Drosophila melanogaster: one gene and its partners. The protein of the gene in region 3 interacts with the protein of the main gene of each other region in a pairwise test. Each region holds a gene or a part of one and is shown on either strand. Other genes may lie near its edges. The genes, in order: CG15446, Archease, CG18371 and robl37BC.

Region 1 (5,411 bases), on a different chromosome or scaffold from region 3:
CGGCTACATAGCTTTGAGCTGAAAATAACTGGAATATACGGGTACAGCCTTTTTAAATGGTTTTATGATTATATGCATTTTTTATATATACGTTTACAAGGGCCCAAAGCCAATTGATATTCGTAAATGTTTCTCATCAAATGAGGACATGTTTTCGTGCAACCCTTGAAATCTCACCCACGTCCTTGCGACCGTACTTAGAACTTTTTTGAGAGAGTTTTTGAGTTTTTATTTAGAGGCGTACTTTTTAATTCAAAATCGTGAAAAGTATACCATTGGAAAGGGCTTGAAAGCATTATTCCCATGACGCCAAAAGGTGGCAAGTTAAATTTAGTTCATAAACCGAGGAAACGGGTTTCACGTGCTTTGCAGCTGGCAAATGGCAGCTCGTCCTTGTCACAGGAGCAACGAGGACATCCAGACCTCCATGCGGGTTTTTCATCCTTGTTGCTTGACAAATAATTGTATTAACGACACAATGTGGGCTTAATTTGTTCGCAAACTATACGAAAGTACACAAAACAAAAATCTATATTTTCACCATTATGCCATTCTTTATTTCATATAAATTAAATTATGGCTTCGCTGTATACAAACAGATTTATTCCGGCTTTGGTTTTTTGCCAAGTTGCTGCAATTCATTTGGCTTAGTTATTTTAAACTTGTGTAAGTTTCGCGCACAGGCATTCACGGAGTGCATGCGCATAAAGCCTGATGTGCGAAAGACCTGGCCACACTTGCTGCAGTTGTGTGGCCAATTGTGGTGACCAGTCTCGCGTTGGTGCTTGTACATGGCCCGACTGAAAAGATAGAAGAATGAGCGATATTAATGAAACGTACATATTTCGGAACCCAAATACAGTACAGAACCCAAATATACAGTTTCGAAAAAATCAATAGCACCACCATAGCGTATCATTTATTTTTGATCATTTGGGTATTTCCCCATCCGAATCTGAAAAGAATTTATATAATATTCGTATAAGGATATACTAGATTCGTTGAAAACTGTGTAACAGCTTTCCGACCATATTCCGCCTGTCTATCCATCAGTCCGTCCGTCTGTCAGAACGTCTCGATCTTAGAAACTATAATGGCTAAAATGTTAAGATTAGGCATGCAGCTTAAGGAGACATAGTCGCAGCACAAGTTGGTTTCCAAATGTTGCCACGCCCACAAACCGGTTAAAGCTAATACGCCCACACTTCTGAAAAATGTTTTCATATTTTTTCATAGTTCTATTAGTCTTGTAAATGTCTATCTTTACACCTACACACCCCGAACAGTCACGCCCACACTTTTAAACAATTTTTAAAAATTTTCTCATTTTATTCCCCATAATCTATCGATATGTCCAAAAACTAATAAATTTCTCGCATTTCTACTAGCTGAGTAAAGGGTATCTGATTGTCGGGGAACTCGACTATAGCCATCTCTCTTGTTTATAATTTTTTTGGTTCAGCAAGGTCCAAAATAAGGCGAAAAAATAGCACCACTATCAATTTTTTAAAAAATTCGAATTATTGTAAAAGTACCTTAAAAATATTATTAAAACGGAACGTGGAAAGCTTTGTACAGCAACGTGACATGATTAAGAAAAAAAATCATACTGAAATATTGGTCGAATCCTTCATGTCTCAGGGAACATGGTTTAAAAGCCTGAAGTCCAAGGCGCAGCTATTAATGCTTATAATGGATACACTACCATAAATATATTAAGGTAGCGTAGTTTTAATACGCAAACATTTGTTATTAAGTTTAAAATTGAAAATTTAAGCATTTATTTTTTCGTTGTTCCTAATAAAGTTCCTTAGTTAAGTTAAGAATTCATAGAACAATTGTACTTATTTTTTATTTTTTAATAAGTGAGTGGCTTACCATTTTTTAAAAGGGGACTAATTTAAACCTTGATTGGGCACGTGGTGCTCTTTAATTTTAATTTTTCACAACAGAAAAATTTCTATCTGAATAATACTCTTGGCTTTTTTTATCTAACTCATTAAATTATCAGCGAAAATAATGAGACTCTTACAAATAAAATAAAATATTATAAATAAATTTTAAGTTCGTATTGGGAATGCTCATATATGTACTTCCTTATGATCTATGAGCAAAACTAAACTTTTGTGTAAAACAGCATATGTACCTGTAGGAATGATGGATTGGCAGCTACTTAAGTAGCCTTGAAAATGTCTCCAGGTGTGGGCAGTTTAAGAAAATATAAAAGAATATTAATATTGAAAATTGAAAAACTTACCGCGAATCAAAATTTTCCTTGCAGTAATCCAACGGGCACGAAAAGACGCTAAATGGTGGGTGACGGCCCATTACCATTGGGTTAGCACCGAATATAGGCGGGTTGGCTGATGGTGTTGAATTCAACGGCTGTATCTGGCTCAAAGACGAGATGGAGTTCATGATATGATTGTAGTATTGGTTTGATAATGCATTAAATTGTTCGGTCCATGTAACATCCATGTTACGGTAAGGGTTAGGGAAAGAGCTCAAAATTGGAATAAAGTTCCTATTTGTGGTAAAACCCTGATTGGTATTGACCATCGAATCAGACTGCGACCCCTCAGCGTTGTGCTCGACCCCCTCCACTTTAATCTTAACGGGCACGTTGGACTCCTCCGACTTCGGTTCCGACTTGGTCGCCAACTTGTCCGCCACCTTGTCCGGCATCTTGTTCGCCTTCTTGGATTTCGGCTGCATAACCGACTGTTCCCCCGACTTACCTTCATCTTCGATGGTCGGAGATTGAGAAATGCCACCGACTTGACGGGCGAATTCAGATGCCATTCTGGCCGCAGTGGCGGCAGATGGAGGACGACCACGTCGTGGCCCGCCATTATGGCTGAACACATGGGTAGCCGTTTCCGCATTGTATTTGGACATCAACTGTTTTTTGTTACGGGTCTCGATTTCATGGCGCACCATCATGGGCAGTCGATCACTGGATAGCCAGGAGTCGTTCTCCAGCTGCCTCCGCGACTGATTGGCCATTTGGCGATACGAAACGGGACGACGATTAACGGGGTTGTTCGGATGCTTCACTTCGGTGGGTTCCACTGGACGCTGGCACTCCGGGAGACTCGGATGGATAATTCTAGCAGCTAGAAACACAAGCAGGATATATCAAGGAACTGTTTTGCTGTGCAGACTATTTTGTATATAGAATACTACATACCACATTTATGGAAAACTTACCTTCGTAGCGCTCGTAAAAATTGCGGCGCCTATTGTTGTAACGATCCGAAAACATGCTTCGCATAATTAAATTGGTTGAATATGTTAAATAATTACACAGTAACAAACCAGCAGAGTAAAACGACTTGAGCGCAGCAAACAGATTAAACAATAAATTTTTAAAACACCAAAATCACATTCCTTTGACACGTGGCGTAAGAAAAGAAGTCCGCCATCTTTGTTCGATAGATTTAAGCTGTCTAATTTGATGCCACCATTCACCGATAGAGTTGCCTGGTTAAAAAGGTGTCAATTTAAATTTAGTTCATAACTGTTAAATAAGCCTCTTTGGAATTTAATTTCATACCAAACGTTTGCAATCCAAGATCAGCTTAAATCGTTTCTTTCACTTTAAAAAGGTCCAAAAGCATAGTTTTAGTATAATATTAAAATGTATTGTTGCGAATAACAATAGGATTAATAATAAGAAATCAGCTGTTATAAAACAGCTGTAAGCAATGTCGTCGTGCCCACGTGCGTTTGTTTTCGTTTCGAATTTAATAAATGACGTACTACGCAAAGTTTTTGTTAAACAAGTGATGTTTGCTCTAAGTTTTTTTTATAGTTTTATAGAGATAATAGAGAAAACACAAACTAAATACAATATGTATTTCTCTCTGTTTTAGACTTATTAATTTTATTAATTTGTATTTTTCATTCAGCCCATAGTGGAGTAGAAATTTCAAATCAAATTTAATGCAATTAAATGCCAATGTAGGCGGTTGTAGAATCCTTAATATTATATATGTATGTACATACATATATCGGAGAAGCGGAGCGCGGTATATCGTTTTCACGAAACACTACCACAACAACAACAGGAGCCATGCTCATTTGAATACACACACAAATGATGGCCACTCAATAACGGAACGCTCTCCGTGAATTTCATTACTCGCTGCTCATTCTTAACATAACGGATCAATAACATAATTTCGATTACATTCAAATAATAATATGTAATGTAATCTACTCAATCTCCGACATACATACATATATGTAGATATTTTCCACTTTATAAAAACGGTTAAAATAGTATGGCCTTAATTCGATTAAATAATAGTGCTTGCACCTACATATTTTTGTTGCATAAATCGATTGGCATTTGTTTTAAAACAATATTGAGTACTAAACAATACGAAGTACATCTCAGCACTTGTGACTACGCGCGGTGCCAAACTGCGCAAATATTGGCGTTCAAGTGCACTCATGAATATATTCACGAATATCTGGGTGACGACAAGCTAAAGATCCCTCTAAAAAAAATTCCCACCACCCTTTTGAACTCTTTTTTTTTTTGCATTTTCACTGCTTCTTTTTTCGCACATTTTTCAGCGCCAACAATTTTATTTGCACTCCTCGTTTTTGGGTGCCAACATTTATTTGCACATCATTGCGTGTGTGAGTGTGGGTGGGTGGGTTGGTTGTGTGAGTGTGGGTGGTTGGAAAGCTTCGTACGCATGTGTTTTTATGGATTTTCGGCCTCGTTTTTGGCAGAGTCGTCCCCCGACCGACCGCAAAACAGGTTGAATATTTTTTAATCAGCTGCCCCACACAATTTTTGGAGTGCCCGGAGATCCAGGGTCTCGCCAACGACTTTCATTTTGATTTAGAGAATGCAACTTTCTCTACTCTCCAATTGCACAACCAAAAAACTGTGGTTCTTAAATCATTTTGATATGTACATAAATGTAAAAATAAAACTAAATTGGCTAGAGTTGTCTGAGAGCATTGCCAAAGAACGCAAATAAAAATGAGTCTGTTACTCATTTAAAAACAACCTAACCTTTTTTAAATATTAAATATTTTAACGAGTATCGAAATGATTTTGGCCAGTGTCTTATTTCCACTCTGCTTGTTTTTTGCAGCATTTCTGTCGCCATTGTCATCGCCGCTCTGGCCGGACCCCAGTGGCTCTTCACGGAGGAGAAGCTGCCCAATGCCAACTACAATGGGACGGCCAACTTCAAAGCCCTGGACGATGGCGCCTACATCACCAAGTACACCAAGTCCAGTCTCTGGATATTGTGCACCACTCTGCCAGGTAAATTGCTGTCCGTCCAGCATCACAGCACCACATTCCTTGGAACCATTTGCACCACCAGCAAATGGAGACAGATATGACATATATGGTGTTGGGCTGCTGCAGTTTTCCGGCTTGG
Region 2 (4,031 bases), on a different chromosome or scaffold from region 3:
TTTGCAACCAAGTTGACCAACGGTCAGTTATTTAACAAAACAAGTTACCTAGCTACTTAGTTTAGTTGAGTTTTCCGAACTCCCGAGCTTTAGTTTCACTTCCAGGCAATTTACTTCTGGTTGTTCCAAATATATAGTGTAGCCAAATATGAAATTCTGGAACTCGTACGCAAAGGCGCGCAAATATTCGAGAATAATAATAGCTTTACAGTTATTTGCGCCGAATACGCGACGTGAATCAGGCGAGCTCCCGTAGCCAACTGAACCACTCGAAGACGTAGGAAACCAGAGAAAAAGAGCTTCCACCAAAAGTGGCAGCAGCAGCCAAATGAGCCATAATAAAAAAAAAACCACAAAAATAGCAGGAAAATGTTTGAAAGCCATAATATGGCCGGGCACAAAATTGAGCTTTGTCAACTCGGCTTAGAGTTTGACACCCCCAAGTCGCGTTTCCTCATGTGCAAAATGAACAAAATTGAACAAAACGGTCGTAAATCACCAGCAGAAATCATTCATAAATTCCTTTAGAAATGCGTAGAATCATTTAATTGACCGAGATGCGCACTAACTGATAACCATTACTTAGCAAGTTATTATTAATATTATTTCATATAATTTTATAGCATGTTTGATAATAATTCATATTAATGTCCCAAAAGGTGAACAAAAAGTAAATACAAAATTCATTTGAAATAATACAAACACTTTAACTATAAAATAACTTTTCATTTCTCTTAACACACTAAATATTTCTTGAACTTTACATCAACGAGTTGAACGACCTTAGAAATAAATATTTCCTTCGCTGTCTATTTCAAACAATAACCCATCACCGCTGGTTGAAAAGTGATCTGAATTTAATGAGGCAATATTTATTAGACAATCCCATGTCCGTCAATGGGTATTATTCAAGTATGAAATCAAGTACTCACAGCCAGCGCTCAAGTTCATGGGATTGAATAAATCAAGCGACGTGATTGACAATCGTAACGATTGACGGCAATGCTGCCGGTAGGCCAGAAGAAGATTTTGTGGACTGTTTCTTTTGGCAAATGAAAATACAAGGTTGCAGCTTCAGTTGTTATGGCTGATTGCGATTTAATGAAAGGACAAGGTCGCTCTTACAGAAATTCAAAACTGGGCTGAAAACATGCGCCAGCACTTTGTAGCACTTTAAGTGCGATAACAAATGGTGGGCATAAACTGGAAATTCTGCTTTAATTTTGCTCAAAATTACTTAATTTTATTACAATCACAGCCTTTAGCACAATTTTATTTCTTTCGTTCTGTAACGTTTTTAGATATATTTTTTTTAACTAAAAGGGCCGTGGGAAGCATTTTGTAAACACTTTATTAAAGGAGGAAGCATTATTTTTATTTTTCTTCTCTTCTGATGTTGGAATCCTTCCCATTTGACATGCATATTTAAATTACAAGTTTTTTAAATTACAAAGTTAAAAATAAATGAAGCCTTTAGGTATTTTTAGATATTTTTAACAATTTCGAATTTAAAAGCTTGATAGAAACTTTTATCTTATAATTCAATCTTTATAATTTATAGTTTACTCTTTATTAAATAAAACCCAAATATTTCTTACAAACAATTTTATACATTTTATTAAAATTTGTATGTTAACATTTCCCGGTTTGAGCTCAGTATTTTCTGTAATTTGTATGTTAACAATTTCTTATTGGAGCTCGGTATATTCCTTTCAGTAGGTATTTTCCCCTGCGCATAGATGGTCACACTAAGCGGTTGCTGGTTTGTTTATAGTTTTTGTCCGCGAATTTTACTTTAACTTTAGCTATAACTAACAATAATGGAGGTGGAATTCAGTAGGGAGAACTTCCTGCTGCCGGAGATGAAGTACGAGTGTGAGTAGTTCTTCGATTTGCAGGAGAATAATCTGTTGCTAAATATTTCATCACATTGCGTTGCAGACCTGGATCACACGGCGGATGTTCAGTGAGTAAGATAACAACAAAAACAACAAGTGTGCCCGTTAGCCATGTGGAGTAGGGTGGTTCGCTATTTGTGAATGAAAAATCCAGATGATCGTATAAACTAGATTCTAATAAGCGCTTTCGTATTAGAATTTGAGATATAGCAAACATTCTGAAAAAGAATTTATTTTAATTTATACATATTTTAAAGCCATTATAATTTTTCATATTTTCCCAAACCTATGTATTATGTTCATAGTTAGGGAATACGGCTTTTTAAACGTCAAATGTATCTGCTTTTTTGAAGATTATATGTAATGCAAGTTTTTTCTGACTTTTATATTATACTACTATCGCTTAAAACAACAAGACTATTATTAAGTAGTAGATCATAAATAATTCTTTTACTACGCCACTAAAAGGCAGCAGTTTTGTATATAAATTATAACTTACGGCTACAATAGACATAATTAATTTACTTAATATAAACGGATGATGTTGGAATCCTTCCCATTTGACAGAATCCACGGATGGGGATCGTCGCTGAAAGAGGCGTTCGAACAGTGCGGAGTGGCCATGTTTGGATATATGACCGAACTGGATTACGTGTCCGTGGAGCAGTGCTTTGAAATCGAAGCGCATGGAGATGATCTGGAGAGCTTACTCTTTCACTTTCTGGACGAGCTGCTGTTCCTGTTCTCTGCCGAACCGTATCTGGTGTGCAAGAAGCTGGAGATCACCAAGTTCGATGTGGAAAACTTCGAGATTTCCTGCCATTGTTACGGGGAACCATTTGAGCTGGGGAAACATCCGCAGGGCACCGAAGTGAAGGCAATCACATACTCGGCCATGCAAATCATTCAGGACGTGGAGGCCAGCAACTACGAGGTGTTCGTGATAATTGACATTTGATCCAGCGGCGATCGCCGGGAATTAAATGTGACTGTTCTGTTTCAACCCCTTTGCCTGTCTCCATTAATCATAAGTGAAATGCCAAAAAACGATATAAAAACCGCTGCATAAGCCCCGAAAAATTTGCAATCTCTCGTGCTGCGACTGCATCCCTTGTCGATGAGGATGACTTATCAAGAAACCACTCGATTGTGCGGCTGCAAATGCAATTAGGACTGGCTTCCTTCTCACCGGTCTGATTCCGGAATCAAGATTTACCCTTTTGCCTTCGAATTTTTTGTGTACTATTCACTTTTTTTTTGCCCACTGCTTTGTGAATTGGCAACGTGTTGAATTCCCAGACAAATGCCGAATTTGTTGTCCTTTCCCAGGCCCCAGTTCAATGCACTTTTTATTCGGCAGCCTTCAGGAGTTGCTGACGCGTTGGGTTGCATTAAAGAATTAAGTTGTACTTCTTTTTGGGGAGTCATGTCGAATAGGGCAGTTAACAATGCAAGTCAAGGCCATAGTTTTAATGTTATGATTGACTTGATTTGTTCGACATAAAGTATAGAGAATGCGGGGCCTAAAAACACAAACATATTTTTTTATCAACAATAATTTAGTTCAATGAATGTAAATCGTAATAAATATCTATACGATTAAGCAATCCCTAATTCTAAATATCAATCCACGACGATATCAACAAATATTAACGCTTTTCAAAAAACCGATTTCCTTTGAATAACGCGCTATTCTCGAATCAGTATTATTCGGATGATTTTCGCGTGAGCCGATGTTATTTAGTGGCCGATGAGCGAAGTCAGCTGGTAACACCGAGCGATTTGTTTTGAAACAGCTGACCGCACCGTCAAAACCCAGAAAGTAAACAACAAAAAAAACATTTGCCGGGCAACGTCGCCCAACATATGGGCCCGTTCTTGTATTTGTGTGGGTGCGTGCGTGCACGAGTATGATGATTTTTCCTTGGAACATCGGGCGAAGAACGGCGAACTGAAAAATATACGCTTTTACAGCTGATTGATATTAAAAAAAAAGCAACGCTGCGGTCGACGAGCCATACGAATGAGCGTGCGAAAGAACAAACAAAGTATGAAGGCAAATAGCCCGCGGACACACACGCACACACAAACGGCCAGTTGGTCGATTCGCTTTTAGCTTTCAGCTTTTCGAGT
Region 3 (2,582 bases):
GATTTTCACCTTCAATCAAATAGTCAATCTGTTCTTGTTCAGCGCACTGCGATAAATATTTGTGGCTCTCTGTTGTTATTCTAGATTTTCCTTATAGCCAGTATTGTCTGTTGCCTGTTGGCTGCTGTTTGTGTGCCGTAAAAACTCATTGCCAGTTTGGGGCGTCGCTCAACTGGAAATGTGGCCAAGCCGAGGCTAAAACTGAAGCTGAAGCTGAAGCTGCAGGTGTCTGTCTAACCAAGTCATCTCACATATATATATATATACATATGTACATATATTTACTTTGTAGATACATATATTAAAATAAGTACATAGTGGATGTGCCAGCCTCCATGTAATTGCGCTGAGCATTTCTTTGTGCGGCTTAATTAGTGGCTGGCAGCAGCCTGTTTTTCATTTTAGAGGTTTATAAATGATGCTCGCAGAAGCACAACTGGGCTCCATTCGTAGGCAGCTCAATTTAAAGGTCCAAACAAATAGTTACAGCAAATACACAGTTCCAATTTTCGGTAGTAGACTACAAGTCTAAATTCTTTATTAAATGGCCTTTTTCGTTGCTGCCACATTGTGGTAGCGAATCGAGAATCGGCTAAAGTTGTGCGAAGTGATCTCCTTGGTGGGCGTGAATTCCGCCCGCTCGATAATCGAGCGCGGACTGCCGATATTCAGTAGCCAGAACTTCAGCACGTTGACCTTGGGCAGTGTGCCCTCCAGCTGTCCCTTCACCGTGCCCTCGTCCGTGTTCATCACCCACCCGCGCACCTGGTTCATTGTGGCCAGATCTCGTGTCTGCTTCCGCAAACACACACCCTGTACTCGCCCGAAGAGTTCGAATCCGCAGGAGAAGATCTGTTCCGCTGGCTGCATCATCTTCAATATGCTTCGTTTTTTCTAGAAATAACTCCAACTTATTGTCGATCGAGAGAGAGATAGAAACAGAAACTCCACTTGTTGAAATTTAGTTGATTTTTGTCAGTGTTCGTTACAGGAATGTCGCAAGCTCCTAGATTCCCTTAAGCAGTTAAGTGTTTCCTTTCGGAATGTGCGCTCTGCAGCACAGTGAAACCCAAATAATGTTAACACAAGCAAAACTTGCTAAAATTAAATGTTAAACTACTGGGTGTCAATGATATCGCCATTATGTGCTTAAATTAAAATCGACGAAAGAAATAGGGAGTTTACGTTGGAAAAAGGAGCAGTGTATCGGCGAGAGCGCTAATGACATTGTATCTATTGTATATCCATAGCGTATAGCGTATCCCATATCAGCACTGGGGACTCATAAATCACTTGCCACACTCATTCGCACACACGCACACATTCACATGCGACGCCAAGTTCATCTCATGGCAATCCAATCAACTGGCAATGCCACAAAAGTTTGCAACCACCAAACCAGAGCCGAAACCCTCCCCCCCCCTTGTTCCTCTTGCCAGCAAGCCTCCTTCCTTCCCCCTTCCCCCTTCCCCTTCCCCTATGGCCCATGGACACATGAACACCCCCCTCGAAAATGGCAAAACACCACCTATGGGCAGCGCGAACAATAACTAGCGAGATAAACAGACAACATTCGGCGTTAATGCAAACGCGAAACGCCGACATCGCAGGCGATACTAAGGCAAATATTTAATACGATATTTATGGCCTAGGCACAGGATCAAGTGCAAGCGGGATGGGTAGACAGAAAGAGACCAAAAGGGAGAGCATGGGGAAATGAGGTCCTTTGAGCCAAGGTATTTGCAAAAGATGCCTGTGATAAATGACTACAGTTACAAGTACTCGTCCGACAGCTTCCAGAAATTGGTTTCCCGATGACTACATAAATTATACTTTTTCACAATTATGTCTAAGGTTTGTAAGGAAGACTATTAAATATTAACGATACGATATATTCTCTAGAAATTAACTGCTTTTCATTCTTCCACCCTGACGTTAGCGTGCAACCGAAAAGATTTTCCCCCTTTACCATCTACATTTTAAGAAACCAAACGTGTACGTATGTTGAAATGGCCCTAAAGCTGTCAATTTGGTTAAGCGAATTTAAAAGTTTTCGCAAAGTGGAACCAAAGGCTTCCAATTTGGCCGGCACACTGTGGCCAATCCAACTCGAACTCCGTTCGTCGTGTGCCCATTCAAATGAAACACAGCACGAGCCTCGGGTTCGTTTCGAGTTTCAGGTTGGATTTCAGGTTGAGACCGCCACCGACGTCTCCATCGAATTCGCAGTTCCGTCGCTGCCTCCGTCGACGTCCGTTCGATACTGTTGTTGTTGCTGCTGCTGCTGTTGTTGTTGTTGCCGTCGAGCCGAAGGTGAGCAAGCCAAATCAAACAAACCGAAGCGCAGCAAAAAAAAAAGTACGTTGAAACGCTTGAAGGGACTTCGCATGCCTCGCCGTTGGAGCTACGAACGAACGGGTATATATGTTTGTATGTACATGTAGGCATAAGTATAGGTATCGGTATATCTATAGATACTATAGCTCATGCTGTTGCTGCCAGAAACTGCGCTTCAATTGCGACAGCAGCAACAACAACAACAACAGCAAGTCGGTAAACAAAACTCAGCTTCTCCGAAGGCA
Region 4 (2,749 bases), on a different chromosome or scaffold from region 3:
ATGTGGGTGCTTAAATTGGTTTCGTGCTTTCGTGTGACGCGTGCGGAGGCGTGTAAAGCCCGGCGTGTTGCTGTGTAAGTGTGCTGAGGCTGAGGGTGTGTGCGTGCCCACGAGTATGTGTAAGTGTGCAGGCGACAGGCTGCTCTGCGGGTCCTTCAGCCCCTGCCATCCCCCCTCTATCCACTCTGTTGTTGCTGTTGGCATGAATGCTTGATGGCGTGACGGCAGCCGGTTGTTGCCAGCAATCGAAACGAACTCGATGGAAGGATGTGTTCCTCCTTTTCCTGCAGACCGAATCCAGAAATACCCAATCCCGGCTAGGCCAAGTGGTAAAGCTACGAGGATCACTTACGGCCATATACTACAAGGTTTTCAAATTCAAACCATATATTCCGGGTGTGTAGCTAATATATCAATGTTTAAATTACGTATATTGCCAAACCATAATAATAAAATATTTGTATTGCTGTTACTTACTGATATCTACAACAATTTGGAGGCACACGACCTTCGACAACAGCCTACTGGACTCCCAATGAGGGTACGCAAACACAATTTACCCCGCCTGTATGTGGATTTTATTTTTGCGTGCTCTTCCAGCACAGCAATGTCCCGGCTCACAATTTCAGCTCTGTACTTTGGATTTGTGAGCTCGTCCGTGCAAGGACTTCTCTCAGCCAGGACATCAGGACGTGGTCGTTACCCGCTGGCGCAGCTGGTTTACGATCCCTACTGAACTCGAAGCCGTTAGAGCGCCGAGGCTCTCCGCGAGGCGACACTGCTCCTCCAGGATTCGTCGAGCACACGGTTGTCCTGGATCAGAATGATCGTGTGCTCGTTCTCGGTGGCCACCATCGTCTCCTGGCGGCGGGTGCGCAGCCGCACGTAACTCAGCTCGTCCCCATTCTCCAAATCCTGCACCATGGATCGGGCCAGAATCACCAGTGGCCTCATCCGATCGGCGTATATGCGGGCCACATTCGCTGGCAAATTGGTCCGCACCGGAACTCCATTGCCATCGATCAGGATTGCCCCCGTCACGCCTGGCAGCTGAACCAGCCGATCGAAGGTCATCTGCACAGTGTTTGACGCCATGGCTTCCAAGAGCGGAAGTGGATCCCTATTTGGGTGAACTATAGGGCGGGGGCTGTATTTGTAGGTCTGGATGTAGGTGACTTAAAGCAAACACACAGATATTTCGATCTCTGTTTCAAAGATCAAGTGGGAAGTGATTTATTGAACTGATTATTCAATATGTAAGTCTTAACTAGATAAGATACAAATATTAGAAGCTATTATTTAGTCAAAACTATGTTACATTGGCATATATCTATAACAATAATTTGCTATCAAGCAAATGGTTCAAAATACAGACTGAACCTTATGGATAATAAAATATAAAATCCTAATCCTGCCTTAAATTTTATGTCCTGCTAACGATCCATATCACGTAAGCTACCACAGGGAGATGATTTAAGTCAATCCTATAATAGAACCTTTTACTATATGTGGGAGACCAGTAGCCACACAGATCGATGAGCATTTCGCAACTTCATCATCGCAGCGACTTGGACTTAATTTCGCGGGGGAAGTTCAGAGCTCCCCCGTGGCTATTGGCAAGGAGATCCCAGCATCCCAGCTTCCCAGCAGCCAAGCATCCAACCATCAAGACAGCCGGCTAGTGAAAGAATTTCCGGACTCTATGTCAAAGGTTGAATCTTATTTGTGCAGCAGCACGCGTCGCCAGGGGAATGGAAATGATAGGACAGTGGAGGTGGAGGATGTAACGACCCAGACGAGGCGCCACCACCCACGGTGGTGCAGGCGGCAATCATTCCTGACAGCATGCGGCCACGTAAATGGCGTTGAATTACAGCCCGACAATCGAAGTGTTGAAGTCCCGAACTGAAAAGTTCACTCCTGCCCGTCCGGCAGCGGCAGCAGCAGCAGCCTGTGCATCATTCATAAGCCGGCCCAGGCCACAGATTGTCTGGAAGCGAGTCGAGTGCGCACGCACGCAACGAGCCGATGATGATGAGCTCAGGACTCCCAAACAGGCAACTTTATGACTGTGGGCCATGGGTTGGCATTGGGTTGTGGTGTCGTCACGTGCCGGTAGCCGTCTGCGACTGACTCTGACTCCGGATGTGGATGCGGATGAGGATGCGGATGAGGATGCTCCGTGCCGCCCTCCTTGGAGCTCCCTAATCCACGTTGTATAATTCATTTGGCGTTGCCGACCCGTTCGCCGTGCGGAACTATTTATTCAATAATTCGACGTAAAAGCTTGACACAGCAATCCGGGGTTGTGAGCCGTCACAAAGCAACTGGGTCTCTTCCAATCACGCAGTTGTAGATACCTTAATGCCCACACCCACTGTTTAGTGTTTTAAGCTCTATCACAAATAGATTTTAAATAAAACACATGCTATAGTTCAACACTTTGGGTGCTTGGCCAACATTTAAAGGTTCAAAGAGCTAAAGCATAGAATCATATTAAGATTGTTGGCATTGCATATGTTTCGCATCAATAAACGCCGTGCCATCTAATTTTAGCTTAGATTGTTGCTCGACGCATTATCACGATTTAAAAAAATTTAAATTCACGCACGCATACAATCTTCAAGAAGGTTGGCAACTACAAATATTCGAAGTCGAAAACGGCGTTACCAATCGTCATAACTTTGGAGGTTGTACTGGCTAAAAGATAGTTTCGGTGCGTGTCCACGCTAATTGTGGATTGTGTACA

What was found.
Region 1: the proteins of CG18371 (region 3) and CG15446 interact in a two-hybrid assay, tested with the Drosophila melanogaster proteins (one large-scale study listed by BioGRID).
Region 2: the proteins of CG18371 (region 3) and Archease interact in a two-hybrid assay, tested with the Drosophila melanogaster proteins (one large-scale study listed by BioGRID).
Region 4: the proteins of CG18371 (region 3) and robl37BC interact in a two-hybrid assay, tested with the Drosophila melanogaster proteins (one large-scale study listed by BioGRID).

Annotation. Positions count from the first base shown.
Region 1 is NC_004354.4:21,098,813-21,104,223, forward strand, and holds CG15446 (uncharacterized protein), read right to left. Parts: upstream 3,395-5,411; 5' UTR 3,275-3,394; coding exon 3,211-3,274; intron 3,117-3,210; coding exon 2,258-3,116; intron 801-2,257; coding exon 602-800; 3' UTR 539-601; downstream 1-538. Other genes in the region: stg1 (stargazin-like protein), read left to right, coding at 5,118-5,293.
Region 2 is NT_033777.3:21,660,654-21,664,684, reverse strand, and holds Archease (archease), read left to right. Parts: upstream 1-1,712; 5' UTR 1,713-1,820; coding exon 1,821-1,875; intron 1,876-1,941; coding exon 1,942-1,966; intron 1,967-2,465; coding exon 2,466-2,856; 3' UTR 2,857-3,499; downstream 3,500-4,031. UniProt on the Drosophila melanogaster protein: Component of the tRNA-splicing ligase complex required to facilitate the enzymatic turnover of catalytic subunit RtcB.
Region 3 is NT_033778.4:14,027,025-14,029,606, reverse strand, and holds CG18371 (uncharacterized protein), read right to left. Parts: upstream 988-2,582; 5' UTR 874-987; coding exon 541-873; 3' UTR 511-540; downstream 1-510.
Region 4 is NT_033779.5:19,009,342-19,012,090, reverse strand, and holds robl37BC (robl37BC), read right to left. Parts: upstream 1,226-2,749; 5' UTR 1,096-1,225; coding exon 748-1,095; 3' UTR 559-747; downstream 1-558.